Linked DNA regions of Oryzias latipes. Each later gene encodes a partner of the first gene's protein in a complex. Links are inferred from orthologs where the notes say so. Each region holds a gene or a part of one and is shown in the gene's direction. Other genes may lie near its edges.

Evidence for each region.
Region 2: ppp4r4 (region 1) and ppp4r3b share a complex: the UniProt entries of both Homo sapiens proteins name them as parts of the PP4 complex. The link is inferred for Oryzias latipes from reciprocal best matches to the Homo sapiens genes PPP4R4 and PPP4R3B.

The regions. Positions count from the first base shown.
Region 1 is NC_019882.2:23,161,262-23,173,354, reverse strand, and holds part of ppp4r4 (serine/threonine-protein phosphatase 4 regulatory subunit 4), read left to right. Parts: intron 1-4,199; coding exon 4,200-4,319; intron 4,320-6,578; coding exon 6,579-6,656; intron 6,657-7,395; coding exon 7,396-7,467; intron 7,468-7,571; coding exon 7,572-7,745; intron 7,746-7,827; coding exon 7,828-7,933; intron 7,934-8,021; coding exon 8,022-8,169; intron 8,170-8,269; coding exon 8,270-8,414; intron 8,415-8,504; coding exon 8,505-8,543; intron 8,544-8,620; coding exon 8,621-8,692; intron 8,693-8,792; coding exon 8,793-8,853; intron 8,854-8,922; coding exon 8,923-8,997; intron 8,998-10,806; coding exon 10,807-10,897; intron 10,898-10,992; coding exon 10,993-11,054; intron 11,055-11,125; coding exon 11,126-11,423; intron 11,424-12,093. UniProt on the Homo sapiens protein: Putative regulatory subunit of serine/threonine-protein phosphatase 4.
Region 2 is NC_019873.2:15,884,513-15,897,239, forward strand, and holds the start of ppp4r3b (serine/threonine-protein phosphatase 4 regulatory subunit 3B), read left to right. Parts: upstream 1-6,412; 5' UTR 6,413-6,712; coding exon 6,713-6,854; intron 6,855-7,374; coding exon 7,375-7,430; intron 7,431-8,044; coding exon 8,045-8,143; intron 8,144-8,537; coding exon 8,538-9,161; intron 9,162-10,238; coding exon 10,239-10,316; intron 10,317-10,686; coding exon 10,687-10,803; intron 10,804-10,889; coding exon 10,890-11,006; intron 11,007-11,372; coding exon 11,373-11,504; intron 11,505-11,846; coding exon 11,847-11,949; intron 11,950-12,014; coding exon 12,015-12,071; intron 12,072-12,727. Other genes in the region: pnpt1 (polyribonucleotide nucleotidyltransferase 1, mitochondrial), read left to right, coding at 615-801, 1,177-1,228, 1,328-1,385, 1,459-1,555, 1,653-1,755, 1,933-2,003, 2,967-3,003, 3,101-3,167 and 12 more. UniProt on the Homo sapiens protein: Regulatory subunit of serine/threonine-protein phosphatase 4 (PP4). May regulate the activity of PPP4C at centrosomal microtubule organizing centers.

The DNA.
Region 1 (12,093 bases):
ATTTACTGAGCGTGCACAAGCGTTGAAGTTTGCAGCACCGCCCGAGGAGTCGATCTCTGCTGCTGCTTAGCACTAGCTTTAGCAAACTGCGCAGTCAACTCGTTTCTTGGATAACTCCAAAAAAGAGAGCGAGAATTGATTAAAAAAGAAGTGATGAAATCATTTCAGTGATAAATAGCAGACAAAACTCTGAGCAGCGGCTAAGCTCAGCTGACAGGTTGTGTCTGCTGGGACTGTGAGTGACGGAGTGAGACGAGCAGTGAAGGAAGTGGCCACTCGCTCTTTTGCATCAACTAATCAGCAGCTTCGGGGGGTCGGGTCCGGTCGGGGGGTCGGGTCCGGTGCCTGGGTGGGGCGGGCTGGGGCGCTGCGCGGTCTTCTGGGCTTGGGTGTGGAGTGTGTGGTGGGGGGGGATGGAGTGGTGGTCTGGCTCGGCTTGGGGGGTTGGTCCCTTTGCCTGTGCTGGGGGGAATTGGCGGGGGGCCCTGCTCGGGGGGGGAGGCCCAGCGGCGCTGGATGGGCTGCCCGTCTACACCTGGGGCTGGGATCAACCCTTCCCTGGCTCTGGGACGGGACGGGACAACCCTCTTGGGGCCCCCGGTCGCTTTGGGTGTCATCCGCTGTGGCTGCGGGGTCTGGGGTGGGGTGGAGGGGGGCTTGCCGGCTCTGTCCTGTGGGGGGGCTTTCTGGGGGGGGGGCACTATTGGTACGGGACCTTGGGGGGTTGACGGGTCGGGGTCTCCGCTGAGGCATCGGCGGTTGCCCCGGCCGGTTGGCTGCCCCCAGGGCCAGCACTTGGGGGTGGGGGCCTGGACTTGCCTCAACCGCCGGGGGGGCGGCGCTTTCTGGCTCCTCTCTCTCTGTGTGGGGTGGGTGGTGCTGGGCCTGGGGTTTCGGCGCCTCCGGGGATGGGACCCCTGGGCTGAGGGGACCTGGCCCCTATGCTGGGGGGGGCTGGGGGGGGGGGCTGTTTGACCACCGGGGGACAGTCTACCAGCTGTCCCCAACTTACCCCCTTCCTCATATAATCTCATATTAGGGTGAGGGGGTGGGGGGTTTAGCCTGCAATGCACCATGGGGGGGAGCTACTTGGCAGTGGTCCCCCTCCCAAGGTTGCCGTATGGAGTGGGCCCCCCCTCTCTCGGTTTTATTTGCACCTTAGACATGTAGGGCCCTTGGTAGGGGGGGTGCTTGGACATCACTGCCAGCAAGCAGCAGATGTCCTCCTAGCACCCTACCCGCCAATTTTAACTGCACCCCCTTAGTGCACACACCCTTTACTCCTCAAAATATACATTCAAACATAAACACACACACACATGCACACACACACCCTCACAAACACACACACATGCACACACATATTGCAAGGAAGGTGGGACATAGGACCATTTGTCGCCTAGCCCTTCCCTGGTGGGGGGTACTGGGCCCTTGGCAACGGTGGCCGTGGCCCCTGGGTGCCGGTTTCCTGGGCCCGGCGGTGCTCTCTCCGCGCGGGAAGAGGGTTCACATTACACCTGTGGGGTGGGTTCTGGTCCTTGCCCCTGAGCGCTGGGCCCCGCCAAATTTCCAACTGTCGAGCCATGTTTACAACACCCCTCGTGGGCCCCCCTTTTCCGCGGGGTGCTCCCCTCCTGGGCGGGGGCTGCTGGCCCCTGCTTTGCTCCTTCCTGGACCAACCGTGGGCCGGGTGGGTGGCTGCCTGGAGTGTGGAGCGGGTCTCCCTTGGGGGGTCCTGGCTCGTACCTGGGGTTGGGGCAGGGGGATGCCCAGAACTCTTGGGTGGTGATGGGGTGCTCGTCTGGGGCTGTGGGCGCCCTTCTCGGGTGGGGCCCAGCGTTGGGCCCTCCCGGTGCGGCGGGGGGGCTGCTCTCCTGGTTGGGCTGGGGCGGCGCTCTCTTTCCCCCCATGCCTCCCTGCTCTCTGGCTCTGGGGGCCTCGTGGCGGTATTGCTGGCCCTTGCCTGGGTGGCGGATGTGATTGCCGGGGGGCGGTTGTTCTCTGCCTGCTGCCGTGTGGCGTTGGGGGGTTACAGCTGCCGCTGCGGCGGGGGTCTTGGTGTGAGGGTGGCTGGGCACTCTCCCTCCTTCTTTTCACATTCCATCATCCATTTTAGAAGAACATGAACACTCACCTGAGCACAGGTGTTAGCTCACATTTGCAGTAATAGTTTGCGTGATTGAATGAATGAAATATTTCACACTAGTTGGTTTAAAGGCATGGGTATGCGTGTGTGAACACTATCTGTTTTGTGTACATGTTGACAAGTGGACATTTTTGCAGCTAGCAGGTGTGTTGATAACATTTGAGTGTGTGTGTGGACAGGCCCCGCCCTTTGAGATTTGTACCTTACCGTAATGATAAACAACCAGTAAACCTGTTGCTTTATGCTGCTTCATGGTCTTATCCTCCCCCCCCACCTATTATCACCCTCCTAACCCCCCCCCCCCTCTCTCTAACATCCCTCTCTCTTTTTCCCTTCTTTCCTTTTCCGTCCGGTCCAACACCAAAGATTTTCAAACATGACTGAAATTAATAAAGTCTGGCCTTGATTACAAAAGGGGTTTATTCAGACATACCTCTGGTTTGTCTGAAGATTAATAACCCCTGTTGTTAAAGTAAAATATGTCCAACACAAGAGGCCCTCAGTTCTCATCTGCCTGACCAGCTGTTGGACAGGACAAGTAAAAAAAATAAATAAATAAACTAATCAGCAGCTTCTTTGGAAGGAGGCCAGGGAGAGCAGAGAGCGCTCTATTTGTCTTTAAATTATTTTGAAATATTGTCCAATTGTCCAAAAATGGCGAGCATTATCCGATATTGCCCACCATTTTTGTTTCACCACTAATGTTAGGTTGGGGTTATGAGGGGCTGTAAGCCAGTGGGAGGGAGTGTAGACAAAGAAATGATAAGTGATCACAAGGTTCATGCGTGCATTTGCTCTGTATCCGTTTAAGTTGTAGTTTTAGTTTGATTGTTCCTGAGCACCTTTAACGCCACATCATCCATGTCTCCCCCTGCTTATCTGAGATAACAGGCAGCTCTCTGCCGGGACCCTCGCATCATTGCTCTTGTGGATTCAATGTTCTTCCCTATTTTCTTTGTTAGTCTGCATGCGTCCATGTATAAAGATGTCAGTGTTGTCTCTTTTAGGATGTTTATTCAGCTGTTTTAGGGATGTGTACTCTATTTTGTTCACATTCTTGAGTTTACTTAAATTAATGTCTTCCGGAAATGTTTAAAACTGAGAGGAAGTGGGTTTGATATGATTACACTTATGTTCAGGTCCATGTTTATTTGATCAAATCCTTGTGGTTTGGGGATGCACGGCCCTGACAAAGATGCATTGTCACGTTCTCCGGGACACATGATGGTGTTGGGGATCTTTTAATTTTGACATTTAAATGAAAGAACAGCTGTCTTTCATATTTTACATGTATGTTTATATTTAACAACATTGATTCTGTTTTGTTATTATTCTAATCTCTTGTCTTGTTTGGCTTTGTTTAATAGAAACCATGAATTATATGAAGCACATGAACAATTCCTTTGATAAGTAAGTGGCGTGTGGGTGGATCGGATTGACGTCTTATCATTTTTCAAAGTGTACAATCCTTGAGGTCACAAGGTTGAGATGAAATCACCAATACCTCCTTTACAATGGGAAATGAAGATAGGCTTACTTCCCACCAATGGTCCCACCAGAGTTGAATTTCTGATAAACTCCTGATGTCCTAGAAAAAGACACAGGTCTGTTGATTTGGGCTAAAAAAGTAATTAAAAGACCACTGCAAATGCTTTTCTAATAGATCAAATTTTGATTAAATGAAGACAGCTGTGGGTAATCAAAAACCTGACCTTGGGGTGACTCTGACAGACCTGAAATTCTAACATGACATGAAGCAACACCAACCTAAAGACAATCCATCCACACATCAATCCTTCTACCCTCCTATCTGTTTATTGTTCTTTTCTTTGGTCAACTAAATGGCAGACTGTTTTGTCAGAAAACATCAAAGTGTTCCAATAGTTAAGCAGGTTGCCTTATTCTTAAAAATCCTATAAGATACAAAAATATACTTTTAGACTTCTAAATAGAAAGAGACAACTCCTAACTTTTGTCATTTGGAAGCAGCTTCTTTTCACCTTCAGGCCCTAAAGCACAGCAGAGTCTTATTTTGTGTCTTCTTTTTATATAGGCCATGGTGGCGTTTGCGGACTCTGCTCACTTCCTTTCCAAGCTCTACTCCTCCTTCTCTAGTCTCTGCACTGACCCTGAGGTCAGCGTCAGGCGAAGCGCCGCTGCCAGTTTTCATCAGGTCAGACCATAACCCCTCACCCCAACAGTCAGGAGGTATGTAGGAAGCGTTCGTGCAGGGTTTACCTCTCCCAGAACAAAGTGGGCTGATTGTGAATGAGGCAGACATGAAACTTTTCATTTCCAAAAATGGCTTCATTTAACAAAAAACAAATGAAACTCATGATTAACTAATATATGTAACCTTTTGAATGCAGTTAGTGTTGATTTACACATCTACACAGGGACCTTCTTCCCTTACAAGTACAAACTTGGCTCATCCTGAATGCTTATTGTCCTTATTGTTACAGTAAACATTATTGTAGATCAAATTGAAGCATCTCAAATAAACATATTTAGTTCAACCTCTAATTTTCATAATATTCCCATGCTTCCTTGAGCCCTGAAACCCACCTTTGATCTCATTCTGTCTATTGAAAAGATACATTTTTATGCATATTTACACAGGACAGCAAGTCACTTAGGTCATCGTTTTACCCAGATTACACTGGACCTGAGAACAGGAGGGTCGGGTAAATGTTTAACACAGGACCGGTTAGCGTATTTCATCTATGAAGCACAATGTTTCATTTCCAGAGCAAACTTTTTGCCAATAAAGCATTTTCAAGGAATCTGACCCTCCTTGATCACCTACAACAGCCACATATGTTTGTGCAACTTTCTGTTGTGATGGAATCGTACCTTCACCCAAAATACAGTAGAGCTATTGGGAAAGCACACTCTCCAGCCTCCTCAGAAAAGTCTATTTCAGAATGTTGAAGAGGAGAGATCGGCCAATAGTTGCCCCTCAGATTTAGGAACAACACTGCGGTTTAAGTCCTGGTCGTTGAAATGTGAGTCAGTCTCTCTATTTGGTTGGTGGAAGTTCGCTCGTCCAGTCCATATGTGTTTTGTGGATTTGGAGAAGGCATTTGACCGTGTCCCTGTGGTTTCCTGTGGACGGTCCCTCTGGGGGTTTGGGGTCTGGGGAGCCTTCCTGTGGGCTGTCCGGTTGTGTTTTATGTCTTAAAGAAAAACATGTTAAACGCGGCTCCATCTTACCTGATCCACCCTTACTCGTGTGCTGTAGTGTTCACCATGACAGCATGTCCATAGAAAAAATGTACATGAACATTTTCAGTGAGCGTTTTACAACTGTGACATTGTGTGCAGGCCGCCTGTGTGCCCCGTACACGTTTGCCCATTTCTTCCAGTAGGCAGCCCACATCCACCTGTGAGGGCAGCTGTGATTAAGGCTTAATGGAAGCAAATTTGAGCTAATGAGGAATGAATCCAGCACAGAGCCTTGTGGTACACTGTGACTGAGCTTTGTAAAGAAGACACATCATTTACATGAACGCACAACAATCTATCAAATAAAAGGACTTCAAGTAGCTTAAAGCTGTTCCTGCAGTGCCAAAGACATGTTCCACCCTCTAATAAAAGTTTCTAATCAATAGTGTCAAATGCAGCACTGAGGTCTAAAAGATCAAGAACAGACACAAGTTCAATGTCTGCAGCCATGAGGAGATCTTTGTTCCCTTCAGCAGAACCTTTTCTGTGCTATGAGAGAAGGTGAGATTGGATACAGGCCTGTGTTTATCTGAAACGTCTTGATCAGGGCTACATATTCAACTGAAGCCGTAATCCAAAGCAACAAAAGTTATTATTAAGGACAAATGTGGTAACATTTCTCCAACCAAATTTCTGAAATATCAATCTCCAGCTGATAGGAACAGGTAACTGAAGTACTTTTTTCCTGTAACATGTATTCAGGAACTTGAAATGAACTGGTCTGACCACTAGCATGGCATGCTGGGTTTCAATTATCTGGTTCCAAGTGCTTTCTGAACAGTCAGATTTTCCCAGGAAATGGGTGCCGGGGGGAAAATCTTGGTGAATCTCTTTTAGGGAACAACTGGCAGCCAAAGGCGGTTTTGCCAGTTCTACAGTTTCCTCAAGTCTTTTGGTCCAGCTTTTCTACCAAGGTTCCAAAACGAAATATTTCACTTGTTGCACAACACACTAAAGCAATGCATTACATCTAAAATTGTTTTCTTTTAAGACCTGTAAGTTTAGTTATACAATGACAGTTTAAAGCAAAACACAAACAAAGGCAGGATGGTAAATGTTTGGTGAAAGAAATAATCTATGAAAATTAGAAATATGTGAAGATGGAATGAGAACAAAATGCTGCAACCTATTTGCCCCAGGCAACCTGTCTTTGTCACTCCTGCCATTCTGATCTGGTTTACATGATGGTTACACCTCTTCCTGTCAGGTGCTGAAGCTGATCAGCCCAAACAGCCACCTGGTGCACAAAGAGTTTCTGCTGCTGCTGCAGGACGACTCCCTGGAGGTGAGACGCTCACGCACAGCAGGAGCTGCAGGCTTTTCATTTGATGTAGTGCTGCGCCCTCTGGAGGACAGAAATCCACCGTACTTCAAGAAATGGAGTAAAGGAAGCTTGAATTTTCTCATTTTCTAGAACTGAATAAAATACGGAAGGAAACTCAGAAACGGACCTGTTTTTGCCGGTGTGTAACAGAAAGTCTGTTCTGGGGCAGCATCTTGGACTGCTGATTTGCTCTTTACCCTACCAAAGTAAAGTTATTCGTTCCAGTCTTGTTTCAAAGATATTTCATTATTATTGATAAAATCATTATGAAACAAGACTTGAAGAGTGTCCCTCAGCCGTCACATACTGAGCTCAGATGAACAGTTTTCCTCCTTGGCTTGAACAGTCAGATTTGACTGATGTAGTGTGGACAGAATGGAGGCAGCGTGTGGATGACACACAAGGAGATGACTTGTTAGAGTGTAACAGGTTTCTAGTGTTACCGTTCTCATTGTCTCTGCTAGAGCTGTTATCTGTGTTTTGGAATCTGCTACAATCTTGTCATTAAACCTTTCGAAAAGCTTCTTGCACGTACTGTACGTGTGAAACTGGGTTCTGAAGAAAGGGAGCTCTGAGAGGTTTTTAATGTGTTCCATGTAGCATGTCTAAATGTATGTAGGAGAACCTGCAGATTCGTGAAACAGGATCTGTGAAAAGACATACCTGAAGCTGTTCTTTACATGCCTGCTTTGCTGTTTAGGTGCTGGACGCTCTGATGAACCACCTTGAGGAAACTCTTGAGCTGCTTCTGTTGGGAGAAGACTCCCCAATGGTAAAGATGTGGTGACACAAAGAAGCTCAGTCCCTTTCTGATCAGATCATGGCTGCCTGAACCTGATGTCTACTTCCCTCTCTCTGTTCTCTTGCGGGACTCAGCTGCCAGAGCTGCTGTCGGTGCTGCTGTTAGCTGAAAAAAAAGTTGGAAGTTCCCTGCGTTGGCGGCTTCATGAGAAGTTGCTCCAGCAATACAGCTGCTTGGCAAGGCTGCTTTCTGGGGAGCTGCTGCATCAGAGCTTTTCCCACCGCATCTTCAGCCTCCTCATCACCAACGTTAGCAGCCCCGTAATCCATGCTCTACAGTAGCTACAGCTGAAGGGGGTAACTAACTCTGCTCTGCTTTCCATGGCTGCAGAAAGTCCTTCCAGTGCAGAAGGAGGCTGCACGAACTCTTTGCACAATCATGCGTTACAACCGCAAGCAGGAACAACGTCAGGAGATGATGGAACGTTTGATCCAAGGTCAGAGTATCTTCTGCTTTTTCCAGCTTTAGTGAAGATGAAAACAAATGTGTCAGGACAAGACAAAGAGGACTTTCTCTGATTGTAGATTTGGCTTTGGGTCGAAGCTATTGGAACCGTCTTAGGTTCCTTGACGTCTGTGAAATTGCCACAGAGATTTTCTCAAAAAAATACTTCAGTAAATATTTCCTGATTCCAGCGCTGGAGCTTGCCCATGACCCCATTGCCAATGTGAGGTACTTCAATGCATTTCTACTAAGCCACAAGCTGAAATTTGACAAATATTAAGGTCACCACATCCCACTCAATAGCTTGTCCTGCTCACCTGTTTCTTAGATACAAGCTCTGCCAGCTGCTGCCCAGGTTGCGCTTATGTCTCTGCCTGCCAGCAGACAAACTTCTGCTGCAGAAATTGGACTTTTGTGTTCAGAAACTTTTATGCAGGGAAAAAGACAAAGATGTGGTGGCCACAATCCCGAAGGTAAACCTCACCAAAGAACTGTCCGGATTGAGGATGGGCTGTGATGGTGTTCAAGATTCTGTGTGTAACTATATCTAATATCATTTTCAGACTGTGCTGGAACTGAACAAACTGGACCTGTCAGAACCTGTAAGCTGCAAAGCATGTGTTCTGCAAATGCATTAGGCAAACATTTGTTCCAAACTCCATCTTCTGGGTATGTGCAGTTTCACAAGAGGCAGGAGAGGGACCTGCTGGACCTGAAGAAAAAGAAAGAAGAGACTGTCCAGCTGGAAATGGTGAGTCAAAAGCCAGAACGTGACTCCAGCTTGGAACTGGCCAACTTGGTCCAACTGGTTTTAATGTCATACTGCTGTTTGTTGTGTTATGTGTTGTCAGGAACAGTTGGAACAGGACAGCGATGGTAAAGTGACCTCTGACAGGCACACAGAGAGAAAGCGTGAGCTGAACCTTCATCCTCTCAAAAGATTTTTGGACCAAAGCTTTGGTTAACCTTTTCCTCCAACAGGAAGAGACAGCAAGACCAGCCTGACTTTCACTAAGTCTGTGTCCATCTCCTCCCCAGTAGCAGCACCACCCTCTGGTAAGTTGATGATAAAGATGATAGCAATAACCATTATTTCTTAAATACACCTTTGTCCTCTTGAGCCCTCTACACTAGCACAAGTAACATACAGCTGCAAATCTTCCTTTCCTTTCTTGGATCTGATTTCCTCTTATTGTCAACTGAGAATTTTCCTGTAATCCATGTTTCTAGAAAATTGATCTGAATAATGTGTCTTAAAAATAGAGTATGTTCCTGTGGATATAAAGGTTACAGTAATTACAGCGTTAGCTAAAAATCAGAAAATATCTCATTATTTGAAAAATCATCTAAGGTGCTTGAAAAAAAACTGTTGCAGATCAACTCCTTAAGCACCTGATCAAAATTATTTTTTAGGATTAAGGAGGATTTTTGAGTGAGGATTTGGAGCTCATCACAGCATAGAAATGGTTCTGCTAGAGGGAACAATGATCTCCTCATGGTGTAGACACTGGACCTGTTCTTGTTCTTTTAGACCTCAGTGCTGCATTTGACATCATTAATCAGAACATTTTTTTGCAGAGACTGGAATATATCATTGGTATCACAGGAACAGCTTTAAGCTGTTCTATTATGTCCTTTTTTATGTCAAACCTTTTATCTGATAGATTGCAGGGTAATTGTGTAACCGATGAGTCTTTCTCACCCAGCAATCAGTCATGGTGCACCACAAGGCTCTGTGCTTGGTTCACTCCTAATTAGTTCAACATGCTCCCTTGGGTAACATTATTCAGTAGCACAGCATACATTTTCTTTGCTGCTGATACTCAGATATATTTACCTATTAAACCAGGAAAGGTTGGTTCTCCCAGCAGATGAAGATCTGTCAAGAATGTCTTGAAGATAGATCCAGGAGTTTTGTGTTAGTCACTTTCCTTGTCTCTCATTGTTAAAGTTACTAATACAGTGATCCCTTGCTATATCACGGTTTACTTTTCACGGTTTTGCTACTTCACGGATTTGGATTGTGCATTGTGTTCTGCATTCTGATTGGCTAAAAAGTCACTCAGCGAGTAGCTCAAGAATGGGACCCTTTGATGAGCCGTTCATTACAGTTCTCCAACATAATCGATGGGGGCATGTCGGTGTAAGAGGGTCTTTAGCAAAGAAGAAAAAAGAGCGACAACAACTGCCTATCACTATGTTCCTCTCCCGAACAAACACACCTGCAGCTGCACCGCGGGCTTCAGAAGGAAAAAACGCTGCAGAGGATGCAGCGGCTCAGTATGAAGAGCAGTGAAAAAGTAGACCGGAGTCACTATCTGTCCCACTGTACTTTTTTATTTTTTTCATAATCATTTTAAATTTTCTCCCGTTTAATCCAATTACTCTCGGGTCGCGGTGGGCGGGGCTAATCTCTGCAATTTAAAGCCTTCTGTTCTTATCGATGATTGAAATTATTATTTGACAGCACACTACAGAAGTTATTTGTTGAAAAACGTTTCTAAAGTTAAATTGTTAAAAAAACAATTGATTTAGCCTGTTAAATGGTTTGTTCTTTCTTTTCAATGTATAATAGTGAATTTCATTGTATAATAATTGTAAAAAAATAAAGGTTTCTACTTCACGGGTTTTGCTTATCACGGGTTCTATTTGGAACGTAACCCCCGCGATAATCAAGGGATCACTGTACTTTTGTTTCATCCTAACAGGTAAACTGGTTGATTTTATTGCTTGTTGACTTTCTTTTGTCTCACTGCTGAACTAACTAACTTTGTCTCACTGGACTATGGATGGTAATAATGGTGGTGCTGAAAATCTAAATAAAGATGATTGATGATTTGGATGATGAGGCCTTCCGTCTTCCAGGTAAAGAGAGGAGGAAGCCAAAATTGTCTCGCAGTCGTTCCCTCAGCAGTCAGCCGTCATCAAGCAAACCTGTGAATTCTGACAGACCACTGTAAGATGCACTCACGTAGAGACACGCCACAGATTGGTTTTGTTTCTGCCTTTAAATCTTTGACAAATATTCTTATAATGTAACCTTTTTTTCAGGAAGGTCAAAGACCTAAGTGGTTCGTTTCGACTTGGGAAGTCCTCTGTGTTGGTTAGCAAAGGTAACAGTGTGCACTCAGGACCTTGCATGTTTTTCTGACATATACAGTACATCACTTCATGTGTTTTGCAGATGCCTCCCTGAGAACAAGTCACTTCACCATGACAACCCAGACCACCTCCTTTATGCCGATTCTGGTACGAAATGACACAAGCCTATCAAGTGTACTGGACAGACCCAGTATCTTGGACAGAACTACCAGCGTGGACTCCATGAAAAGTGTGATGGAGCACAGCAATAGTGGTTTTTATTCCAAAGACCACAGAACCAGTACTTTGGACCACAGAGGGCACAGAAGTAGCACTTTGGAGCAGAGCAGTAAAACAATGGAGCGTAGCAGCGGGGTGAAGGACAGTCGGTCTAGAAAACTGTAAGTCCAGACCAATTCTGAAACTGCTTTGTTTATCCTGTATCTTTCACAAATCCAAAGAAGAGTTTTATTTCCTGTTGAACGAGCATCCTTGTGATGGTTAGACCTTGATGTTCTGATGTTTCTTTTACACAAACCTTGTCTGTCGTGGTTGGACATCAACTTAATTTGGGACAGTGCATACCCTATTTTAATCCAGAATGTTCTGCTTTAGTCCTTAGCTCAATCCACTCAACAGTGTTCTTCCACCAGCTAGAAGCAGAGATGGCGTTATGTCGTTATGCAGATGAACATGTCAGTCTAAAGAGGAAGAAAGACACTCAGGCAGAGACTGAACTTGGAGGAGTTCCCTGTGTCTAAACAGGCTCTGTTGTGGGTCTTCTTTGATAGAACTAACATTCAGGCCCTAGGTGTTCTTCAGACAAGACAAAGCAGAAGTGCATTGAATGTTTATCATAGAAAAAAGGTTAATGTATCTGTAGTTGGACTGTTGAGTTGTACGGTCTAACAGCGGTTGGAATGCAGGACCTGTGGTACCGCTACTTCTAATGCTGCATTCACACCGGGTCAAATCCACGTCTGCTGCCTCTCTTTTGATCAAATTTACTGTCTGACACCTTGACGCCCCGGTCACAGAGCAACCAACGTTTTTATGGACTTTATTCATCTC
Region 2 (12,727 bases), on another chromosome or scaffold:
CTTCTATCTCTAGAAGAACTAAAAACTTTAATCTCCACAACTACATGACTGTCTTGGTGAAATAAACTGCCTCCAATGCTGCCTTGTATGTCTTCTGACAGATATTTCAGCTTCGCATAGAGCTGCCTAAACATCCTCCGGATGAAATGTGCCAAATTAAAATGAGTGTTGGGATACACTAACCGTTGTAAAGTCTTATTTTAAAAACAGGGTAGATTTCAATTTAGACTTATAGAACATGTTATTGTAAAACCGTTGTGCATAAACCAACCAACTTTCATTTAATCTTTAAAGTTTTTTAAGTGATAATGCGAAATCTGCAGATATTACAAACTGTAGATGCTCTACATATTTATGAGTTTTCTATCAAAAAAATTCCTTGAAACTTCGATATAAATAGTTTAAAAACCTTTAGAGGAACAACCAAAATGCTATTGAACCCGGAGGAAAATTTGTCATACCGGTAATTTATTTAGGAACTTTAGTAAGAATTCTTTTTGGTTTGTCCAAAATTTCTGACACACACTTGAGCACAGACACATTTGGCTTTCTATACCAGTGTTGTGTTTCTACTCATGCTGGTTGCTAAAGATTGAAATATGACTGATTGTCAGTGATGATTGAGGCGTCTGCTGAGAACGTGCTGCAGCAGGACTTCTGCCACGCGGTGAAGGTGGGAGTCAAACACACCCAGCTCATCATTCACGCCATCCAGCAGCTGGCAAGAGAGCAGAAGGTCACCAAGCGCACGCCCATCAAAATGTTCTTCCCCCCAGCAGAGATGGTGGAACGTGTTCAGAAGTAAGTAGGACTCAGCCATGAGTCTTTTCCAGAACTGAACTAGAAAACCTATAGGGAAAGTTCATTAAAAGGGTTTTATGAGAACTCGATGAAGCTTGAGCTTGTCCTATAGAACAAAAAAGTCAGAGTAAATTGTTTTTTTCCAGATCTATTTATTGTCAAATGTTCAATGTATTTTAAAATGCGGCACAGATGAAATGACTGTCTTCTCAGACCCCAATGCAAACATGCAGAAAATAAATAACAATAAAAAGCATAAAAATAGAACAATAAGTAAAAATGGTAAAAGAAATTAATATATATACTAATAAGAACAATGAATCTTGAATTTTCCAGTTTAACACTTCATTTTTTTTGTCTTTTTTTTCCCACCAGGTTAGCCTCTGAAAAGATCTATGCTGTTTTCACTGATTATAGTCATGATAAGGTAGCGAAAAAAATCCTAATTTTCAAGTTATATCTTCTAGAAATAATCATTATGTTAAAATCTTACATTTTGTCTGAATAAATAACATCCTTAACGCAGATTTCAAGAGATGAAGCCATAAACAAAATACGATTGGAAACTGAAGAAGATCTCAAAGGTATGCAGACATTTAATTTGCATTTTGTAGCTGTAAAGGTTTAGTCAAAATATTTTTATCCTTCTGTGTGTAGATGCGTTTCCTCAGGCGGAGCCCTTTGACGTCATTGAATCTTTTAACATCGTGAGCAAAGAAATCTTCCGTAATTTGGTGCTGAATGAGTACAGGAGGTGAGCGGGATCTGCTCTGCTTTTACAAAGTTAATGTCATGGTGCACAGATCTGGAAAAACTAAAACAGGTGTGTGGATTTCGTCTTTGTGTTAAAGATGTGACGGGAGGGAACTGACCGCTTTAAGAACCATCTCGTGTGAGGTTGATCTGTTTAGGCCTCTGCATGGCTCAGCTCTGTTTCAGAGAGGACAAACACAGGTATGTAAAGAGCTTTAAGCCAATCCAAGTTAAAAGGGGAGACGGTTTGAATATAAGAGATAGAACATATAAATGCTTAAGTTGTATGGATGAATATTCGACTTCCTGCTGTAAAAATGTTCTTGTAGTATTTTTAGCAGGGTAGATGTGAGCCTGGTGTTCTTCTGTTCCCTGTAGGTGTTGTGCAGCGTCACCTTTGACTCCCTGGAGTCCAGCATCAAAACAGATATTATCACAACAGCTTTGAGGTAAGGTGGTTGCTTTGTATAATAAATTAAATGATTAACTTTTCTGGCTACAATGCAGCGTAAAATGATAGAAGCAATATGATCTGTTTCTGTAGAACGGATTGGTGAAAACATTAGGAGTGGAAGAAACTGAAATGCTTTTAAAACTTTAAGCTTTGTGTTCATTGTTCAATTTAAAGATCAAGACAGACTTGCATAACTTTGTGAGTGAAAAAGGTCAACCAATATATTTAATATCTAATTCTGATAATATGATTTATGATGAAAGTAACAGTTGAACAACATTTGAATTAGTATGAGTAAAAAATTAGTTAGTAAAAGTTAGTATGAGCAAAAAATTACTTTGCAATACTTTCACTTTTGTATTCCACTGTTTAATGATGATCATATTTTATATAATTTACTATCCTAAATGGCGTTATGGGTCATTAAAGATTGTCTGACAACACAAGTTAGTTTTCATCTTTTAGAAGTTAAAAAGCAAAATACTTCTGTTTTTTTTTATTATTATTATTATTATATATCTTTGTTCTCTACATCGAATTAATCCAATATCTGTTTATTAATCATACATACTTCCAGGAAACAGTTACACCTGAACTTAAGGATAAAAAGAAAACATTTTTTCAAATTTGACTTTATGTTGTGAGGCTCTAAACACTCATCAGAGCATTAGAATTGTTTTTTGAATAGGGCTGGCATTATCTCCCTTTACCACATTCACATGTACGAGAGTATAAACCGTTACAGAAAAAAAATCTTTATTTAGAAAACTGAATCAATTATTTTGTCTGAAAACTTATTAATAATATGTAACTCCCATTTTCACCCAGAAGTTGTATTATTAAAGAGAAAATGAATAATCCTGTTCCTGATCATATCTGAATGCCTTGTTGAGGTTATTTTGTAGTAAATTTTGAACAAATCTGCATCCCTAAAATGCCCACTCTTTTCTTTCTGAAGTGGTGTCAAAGACAAAAACTTCATGCTTCATTATGAAGTAAGTGGATTTTGATTTTTTTTTCAATCAAATACATAATTCGTGGATTTATAATCTTTAATTTGGTGTCAATTTAATGTGTTCTTTTTATGTTCAGTTTCCTCCGTATGCAACTAATGAGATCGGCAAAATGGGAGGCCTGAACAGGAGAGAGCTTGGACACGGTTGGTTGGGATGTTCCGGTCTCGTATTTGGTTCCTTTTTTAGCAGCTCTCACTGGGGGCGTGGCTTGTGTTTGTAGGAGCTCTGGCTGAGAAGGCGCTGAGACCAGTCATTCCCAAAGACTTCCCTTTCACTATCCGAGTCACATCTGAGGTGTTGGAGTCAAATGGTCAGTTTTTAAGACATTATTTCAGAAATATAAAAAGTTAAAAGGAGGTGTGGAAGCTCTGTTGCTCCTGTTGTAGTGTTCTTTTTAAGGCTGTTTTCCATTGTTTAATAACTGTGTTTGCCTTTTAGGTTCATCATCAATGGCCTCAGCCTGTGGAGGAAGCCTTGCCCTTATGGATGCAGGTACCAAAGCCAGACTAAAAGAATGTGCTAAAACTCTCTTACCAGGTGTATTGAAGCACACATGAATCTTGAGAATATTAATTTGTTCTGTTAAATGATTTTTATTTCCTGTTCTGCAATGTAAATGGTATGTACTCCTATAGCGCTTTACTTTCTTTATTAAAGGCCCAAACCTCTTTACAGCCACAGTCCCATTGACTCATGTAAACACACATTTACACACATGAACACAATAAAAGGTACGACATGTAATTTAGATTTATATGCAAGTGTGGATTGTTGCAATTGAAATATTTTTCTGGCACAAAATTCTTTTTAAAAGAAGAACGTTATAAATGTTGTTTTTTCCAGGTGTTCCCATCTCTTCCGCTGTGGCAGGTGTGGCCATCGGCCTTATTTCCAAAGCAAACCCACAGAAATCTGCTGAGATTGAGGACTACAGAATACTGACGGATATTCTGGTACAAACCATCTCAGTTTAACCTACGACAGACTGTTTGGTTTCTGTAAATAACTTGGTTATTGTCGTTTTTCATTGAACATTTGTGAGTGGATTGCTGTTTTCTTAACAGGGAATAGAGGATTACCTTGGAGACATGGACTTTAAAATGGCAGGAACAAGCAAGGGGATCACTGCTTTACAGGTATTATGTTTGATGACTCAACAGAAAAACCTAGCAACTTTAAACAACATGTATTCGGGGCAATGTGGTTTTTTGACCATCTTTTCAACACACATGAGGATCAAATGTAAAAAAAAAACAGTAAAATAAAGCAAAGTGTGTAAAGTTTTTGATTCCCTCTCTTGTACTAAAGTGATTATTTTTTTCTTTTGTTTGACATTTAGGCTGATGTGAAGATTCCAGGTTTACCTTTGAAGGTGGTTATGGAGGCAATCCAGCAAGCAACGGGTACAGAAATCTAGTATTACTTCAGTATTAGTATTTGTTAGCTTTTTAAAAAAAATCCTTTTGTTTTTCAGTGGCCAAAAGGGAAATCCTTGGAATCATGAACAAATGCATTGCAAAACCAAGAGAGAGCAGGAAAGAGAACGGACCAGTCGTTGGTAAATATTGTAAAGGGATCTACACATCTCTTTGGAAATGTTGTGGTTTAATGAGCGCTGGGTTCTGGTAGAAAATGTGCGGGTGCCTGCATCTCGAAGAGCGCGCTTTGTCGGCCCAGGAGGATATAACCTACGCAAACTGCAAGCTCAGACAGGTATTCTGGTAATCGAGCACTGATTACATTTGGATGTGCAGAAGTGTTTAATTTAGTCTTTTTGTTTCCTCTAAAGGTGTCACTATAAGTCAGGTGGATGAAGAAACGTTCTCTGTGTTTGCTCCAACTCCTGGAGCTATGAATGAAGCCCAGGAGTTCATTAGCGATATCTGCAAAGACGATGTGAGCCAACAACAAAATCCAGAATGCATCTGGTTTATTCATTAATTATCAGTTTGATATTCCAGACTATCACTGAACCTTGCCTATATGTACCTAAAGCTCGAGCATTAATGTTGCTTCCCATTTGCAGCAGGAGCAGCAGTTGGAGTTTGGTGCCGTCTACACTGCCACCATCACAGAAATAAGGTAACCTTATTTACTTTTGAGGGCTGAAAGCGAGCCCTGATCCAGCCACTGATGGACATACCTCTCTGTTTTAGGGACATTGGTGTGATGGTTAAACTATATCCAAACATGACGCCTGTCTTGCTGCACAACTCCCAGCTGGACCACAAACGGGTTTGTAAAACGCACTTTGGTGGACTTTTTTAATCTGTTTTTGTTAAACCACACCATCCAATTTTCTTTTATAGAGCACTTAAATGATCTGTTCTGATCTGAAGTGGTGTACAATCATGTAAACAAAAAAGAAGATAAAAACAATGCACAAGTAAATTGAAAATAATCAATCAAATAAAATGACGAAAATGTATCTCTTGTAGATCAAGCATCCAAGTGCTTTGGGTTTGGATGTAGGACAGGAGATACAGGTTTGTGTCAGCTGTTCAAAGTGACCTGTTTTATTGCCACTGTGGGGTTTCTTTTTTTCTAACAAGTGTTCTCCTGACAGGTGAAGTATTTTGGACGAGATCCAACAGACGGCAGAATGAGGCTTTCACGAAAGGTGTTGCAGTCTCCTGCCGCCACTGTCGTCAAGACGCTAAGTGAGAAACAGAGCATTTCCATGGGTTCAAACATCAGCGAAAGATCCGACTTGTGACAGAATGGCACAGCGCAGAGTTTCCTGACTAATCCACCAACTACAATTCGAAAGGAATATTACTTTTGAAGTAGTAATCCCAAGAAAGATGCAACAGATGTCGTAAACATGGCACTATTGGACAAATGAGGCATCTGGCTGACAAGAACAGAATTGTGTTTTGTTTTTTTTGTGTTTTTTTTTAGGTTTGTCCTTGTTATGTCATGTATCAGCAACAATGCTTCTTGTACTTCCACAAATATTTGTGCCTTATGTGGTGGTATGATTACAAGTTTGCAAAAGTCTAGTACTTGCTATTGTTTAGGATTTTTACATTTCATATCTATTGTCCTCTAATATACTGGTATAGAAACAAAAACAAAGTGGGAGAACTTCACAGCATATGTACTTGTTTTTTTTTATTTATAGTCTATGTAAATACACAAATACATGGCATTTCTTAATCATTTTGGAAATAAATAAAACGTTTTTTTTCTATAATCTAATATTGAAATGTATTGTTTTATGCATTATTTGGTAATTGTTTCAAATATTTATGTGACGAAAACTAAATTATTTTTTTTACTTAAAATGCATGAGGTACTGCAGTTCCTTTCCCAGCCATTAAGTTGCGGAATTCCCAGTTGCCTGAAGGAATAAGCCCCGCCCCACGCACGGCAGTTAGCGCATGATTGACATCCGCGATGAAAAAGAGCACAAGATCGGATTACAAGATGGCGGTCCGTGGACGTTAGCAAGAAGGCCATCAGAGTTGTTTCTTTAAATTTCTCAGTTTGAAATCAGACTGTCTATTTGGATTTATAACCGCAAACGTGATATGTTTGCGAGATATATTCGACTACTACTGTAAACGTCAACCTAGACTGGCATGTTTTGTAACATGCAGGTGGGAACAAAGTTAACAGGTCGAGGAAAGCAGTAAACGGGGTGAGGTGATAGCTTAGCAGCCTGCTAGCTCCGATTCGATTAGCCATGTCGGACACTCGGCGGCGAGTAAAGGTATACACGCTAAATGAAGACAGGCAGTGGGACGATCGGGGTACAGGTCATGTTTCATCTACGTTTGTGGAACGACTGAGGGGAATATCACTGCTAGTTCGAGCCGAATCGGACGGTAAGTTCTCTGTTAGCATTAGCTAACTAGCATGCTATATTTTAAATAGCAAAGCTCTTAGTTTGATAGCATTTCTGACTTGGTGGATGTATTTATGCAGTTGGTGTAGCGTTGTGTGTCACTAAATTAATTGTTTTAGACCAATTGGTATATATTTACTTTGAAAACATGAAGTCAAATGTTTGTTTTTCTTTTTCCGGAGAGTCCTCATTTCCAACGACTAGTTGGTTTGGTTGGTCGTAGTAGCATGGGCCCCCCCTCAAAGTCGCGGCGCACACGTTTACACTTGCTCGTTGTAATAAACTTAATCTATTCATGGATATTGCTCTATTTCTGCTACTATTACGTCAGGCTGTATTAATTTGGTTCATAAACTACTGTATTTATTTTAGCTGTTATTCTGATCTTATTTTGAACTAATCATCATTGTGGTTCATACGTCTATTGTTGGCAAATAGTTAATTGGTTTGTAAATAGTTTCATACCACTCTGAAAATTAAGCAATTCTGTTTTTTATTAGGATCTTTGTTGTTGGAATCAAAGATAAGTCCGAATACTGCATATCAGAAACAACAGGTAAGTATTTAATATTTCAACAATTAAGGAGTTTTATACTTGGTTTAATTGAGTCTTACAATTGAAAAGCTATTGCATAATAGTAAAGTTTTCCTCCTCTGTGGTTATTCTGTTGTAAGAAAGTTGGGAATAGATGATGTGTAATTATGCTAGTATACTAAGCTTTTTTTACTTGAAGACTTTGTAATGTGAAATACTGTTATATTTATCATCAGTACAATTGTTCAACCTTAGGAATAACACAATTGTGGTATTTCATTACCACAAGAAAACATATACATTAAAACAATACTAGACATCTTATGCAGGGGAAATGAAAGGGAGCAGCAATAAGAAAAATATATCTTTCTACCCCTAAAAACATTTAGAAGAGGTACATCTACAACTATGTACACAGAAGTATCTTCTTTTTTTACTTTTCTACACCTGTTCAGTCATTTAAAAACAAAGTCGTTGGTTGTATTTTTGTATGAGTACAATGATTAAGGCACACATTCTGGGTTTAAATTAAGCTTTATTTAAAGTTTTAATGTAAAATATGTTTGAAGACAATTGTTGTTGTTGCTATTTTTGTATTTTTGGTAATAGGAAAAAGTTTCATTCTTTTCTTTCAGGACACACTGATTGTTTGGTCAGAAGCGGATAATTACGATCTTGCTCTAAGCTTCCAGGAAAAGGCTGGCTGTGATGAGATTTGGGAAAGGATCTGTCAGGTAATTACAAATAAAGACAGTTCAGCATGTCCCTCCTTCTTGGTGTCCCTTCTCTTTGATGTTTGAAAAACGTTCCTGTCAGGTGGGACTTTGTAACTGTTACTGTATAACGATTGAAACATGTTAAATAACATATATATTTTTTTATAAATAAAGGGATTGAGGGTTTTGGTCTTTTAACTCGTTAAAGTTTGACATTGTATTTTAGCAAAAAAAATAAGTTTATTTTTAGCTGTGGCTCATACCTGCAAGTATCACATACGTTTAGAATGTATAAGAATGCTGCGAGTTTTGCAGTTTTTACTACCAGTATCCCAAGTAAGGGAGTTCATGATTCTTTACTGTAAATTTTTTTTTTTAAATATGTGATTTTTATTTTATTATTTTTGCTCAGGTACAAGGCAAAGACCCTGCTCTGGACATCACTCAGGATCCCATCGATGAATCAGAGGAGGACCACTTTGAGGAAATTCCAGAGACAAGCCACTTGGTTGAGCTCCCGCCATGTGAACTAGGTCGACTTGAGGAAATCGCTGACCTGGTTACCTCTGTTCTCTCCTCACCCATTCGGCGCGAAAAACTTGCACTGGCTCTAATGAGTGAGGGCTACATAAAGAAACTGCTGGGTCTCTTCAGAGTATGCGAGGACCTGGACAACAGAGAAGGCTTGCATCACCTCTATGAGGTTGTGCGGGGAGTCTTGTTCCTCAACAAAGCTGCCCTTTTTGAGGTGATGTTCTCGGATGACTGTATCATGGATGTGGTAGGTTGCCTTGAGTATGACCCAGCATTGGTTCAGCCTAAAAGACATCGGGAGTTCTTGACCAAGACCGCAAAATTTAAGGAAGTGATCCCGATTACGGACTCTGAGCTGCGGCAGAAAATCCACCAGACCTACAGAGTTCAATACATCCAGGACATAATACTGCCTACACCCTCAGTGTTTGAGGAGAACTTCCTGTCCACCCTCACGTCCTTCATTTTCTTCAACAAAGTGGAGATTGTCAGTATGTTGCAGGTAAGGATCTAAACCAGGCTAAAGTGAGTGTAAGTTTCAGTTTAATGTATTTAACAATGTAAATTAAAATGTTTTCTATTAAAAGGGATTCTTTTAAGATGTAATCAACATTCTGCACATTGACTGTTGGACAGTCTGTATCTTCTGTTGTTCGCTACGTTAATGTACTCTCTCCAGTTTCTAATACAAAAAAATTTATGGCAAAAAAATGAAATTGTGATTTTAAAAATGTGTTCTCTACATAAATAGGAGATAATTGAGAGAAACTGAACAGGATAATACTTGTGCTAGTGTGTTTTGCATTATTTTCTTGAAAAGTTCACTGTAAGTCAAGATATTTGTTTAAAAAAATGACAGCGTTTAGAATGTGCCAAGAGAATGAGTTGTTCTACAAAGCTTCAACCTGCTTTGTCATAATGTGTCCCCCTCTATTGTTTCCATAATAATGTCTTAATACATTTTCACATAAAAGTTTAAGATGATCATTTGAGATTTTCATCATATATCTCAGATTTCTTCTGTTTTTAACTTTTTTTTTAATGTTACCTGATAGTAATAGTTTAGTTGTCTTTTATATATATATTTTAAAAATAACTTCCGGCACTCTTCACTGTTTGTATTGTTTCCATGGTGTAATCAGTTCCAACTGATTTCCTGTTTCTTCCAATCTCTTGCATGATCTCTTCCAGGTTTTTAATTTTGATCTGAAATTGCTCAATTTTTTCACACTTCATTTTATTTATTTATTTACTTGATTTAGCCGGCATAATACCAAGGGAGTCCTGGCAAAGAGACAACCGCAGTTGGTTAAAAATACATTAGAACACTTTAATGAGAACATATGGTGTTTGGATTGAAAAAATGACCGTCTCATTTTTTTTAGTATCAATTTTTTTAGAAATTGTGTGTATAGAGCCAACTCTCTGTAAAGTTTTATTTAATAAACAAAAGGCATAGTCAGTGGGCGACAGTGTGAAAGAGAATTAAATATTTAAACCTTCCAGCTTCTCCTTTGTTTTTGTTTTTTTCTGTCATTCTGTTTGTTTATACCTGAACTGTTTTCCCTGTTTTCCACAGGAGGATGAGAAGTTCCTAACAGAGGTCTTTGCACAGCTTACAGATGAAGCCACAGATGACAGTAAAAGGAGAGAGTTGGTAAGTTAATCATCAACATGCTTCACTAAACCCTTTATTTGTTGTTTAAAATCTATTTGTAAACGGCATGGTTTCAAAGATTACATTCCATTATAGTCGAATGGAAATGTTTAATATTTGTACTATTGTTTTTTTGAAAGCATTAATGGTTGGTCTTTAATTTTGAAGTTTGAGTAAATACTGTCTTAGTTCATTTCCTTATTCAATAGTATAGCATTTGTTGAATTTGAATTGTTTTGTTGGATCAGGTGTAATCATTGACATCCGCTGGAAAAAAGCATTGTAGAACAAGGGAAATTAGGGTTAAATATGTTGGTTTTTTTTACTTACTACGTTTTTCTTTTTGTCCTTTTTTCCCTCTCACTTTTAGGTGAACTTTGTCAAGGAATTCTGTGCTTTTTCCCAAACTTTGCAACCACAAAACAGGGATGCCTTTTTTAAAACCTTGGCAAATTTGGGGATTTTACCTGCTCTGGAAATAGTAATGGTATGTCTGTTTTTTGTTTAAAATGCTGGCTTTTGGATGATTCAGAGGAATGCGTGCATCATCACTTTCCAATTTGTTGTTATCAGGGAATGAATGACCTACAAGTACGGGCAGCAGCTACAGACATCTTCTCTTACCTGGTGGAATTCAGCCCCTCCATGGTCAGAGAGTTTGTCATGCAGGAGCCTCAGCAGACGGATGACGTAAGTTTGGATTCATCTGTCACAAGCAAGCTCTGCTTTGAGTTTAACCTGTATCCACAGTGATATTGATTTATAAATGTACTGATTTTTGAAAGTGTTGTGCTGTTTTTACTTTTATATTGTTGTACAAAATAAATAAATCAAGTGGGTTTTAAGTTGGATAATATGAAACCATATTTCTGAAGTGTTATCAGCAATTAGGGGTTTGTTGCTTTTTTTTTAAACCCCATTTCAATAATCCTTATGAAAGTTCATCTATATGCCGTTTTGATTACTATAAACTCTGTTTACTTACTCTTAGAAACATCACAGTATACGTTTCAGATTTTCTTTCCTCATTGTTTTCCCTTTGTGCTTGTGTGTCAGGATGTTCTGCTGATAAATGTGGTGATCAAGCAGATGATCTGTGACTCAGACCCAGAGTTAGGAGGAGCTGTTCAGCTGATGGGCCTTCTCAGGACTCTCATTGATCCTGAAAACATGCTGGCTTCCACCAATGTAAGCTCCACACAACTACACAGAAAAAAGGATTCCTCTATTTTACATGAATGTAATTATTTTTTTCTGATGTTCATTCTTGAAAACACTTTTGGTTTGGTCGGTTTGAGCTTGTAGCTCATTTCAACATTTTTATGTTAAATAATTAACAGCAAATTGTTACTTTTCAACCTAAAAGCCTCATAGATTCGTTGTGAACTCCAGCTGATTATTGATAGTTGGTCTGAAATCTTGATCGTTGACCTAAAGTAAAAAAAAAAAATACATTTGATGAAAAAAATAAAGCTTGATTGTTGTTTTGATTAAATTTTCATGTCTTTTTCTCCTTTCATGTTTTGATAGAAAACAGAGAAGACTGAGTTTCTGAGTTTCTTCTACAAGTACTGCATGCATGTGCTCACTGCTCCTCTGCTGGCCAACACGGCACATGACAAGACCACGAAAGGTAAACTTGGGACTTTGCTGTTTTTCTTCTGCTGTATGGGAAAAGGTCTTGTTTGATTTATGCAGATATTGATGTTTCAGATCAGCAAGACGGATCCACAAAGATCAACCCTGTCTGTCCAGGTGGGTGTTAATGCAGTAAATGTTCCAGCCTGTGTACAGCACAGTTTCTAGAAACGTTACTACTCAGAGTACACAGGTTCGCTTAAGCCAGTGCTTCTCAAATAGTGGGGCGATGCCAGGGGGGGCCGCGCAGTGGTAGCGGTTTCAGGCACAGGTAATACGGGCAATTGCCTGGGGCGCAAATTTAACGGGGCGCTGTAGTGACAGCGGCTCAGTGCTTGGAATAAAATCTGCGCCACTATTGATTTACTCTTATCTGTTATATGACAGAGTTTATAACAGCCTGAAACCTGTGAACTGCCGTCCCTGCAGCTGCTCCTGTCTGCTGTCACAGACAGCGTGTGTGAGAATGAAAGGGGAGGGGTAGTGCGCTCAGGCTGCAGGTTGAACAGCGCATGCGGAGCGCTAGATTGCGCAACACCAGGATCATCACGTGCCTTTAGATTACTCACCTCATGCTAATAATGTCATTCTTTAAGAACTATTGTAGACATTTTGATGACGTCTCTGTATTTTCCATAAATGTATTCTTTGTCTGCCTGTCGTTTAGTTGGTGTCAGTATTTGACATGAAGACAGCAGGAAAACAGCTGCACTATATGATATCATAAATAATCATTTTGAAAAAAATCAGCATAATGTTTTTTACCTATTTCT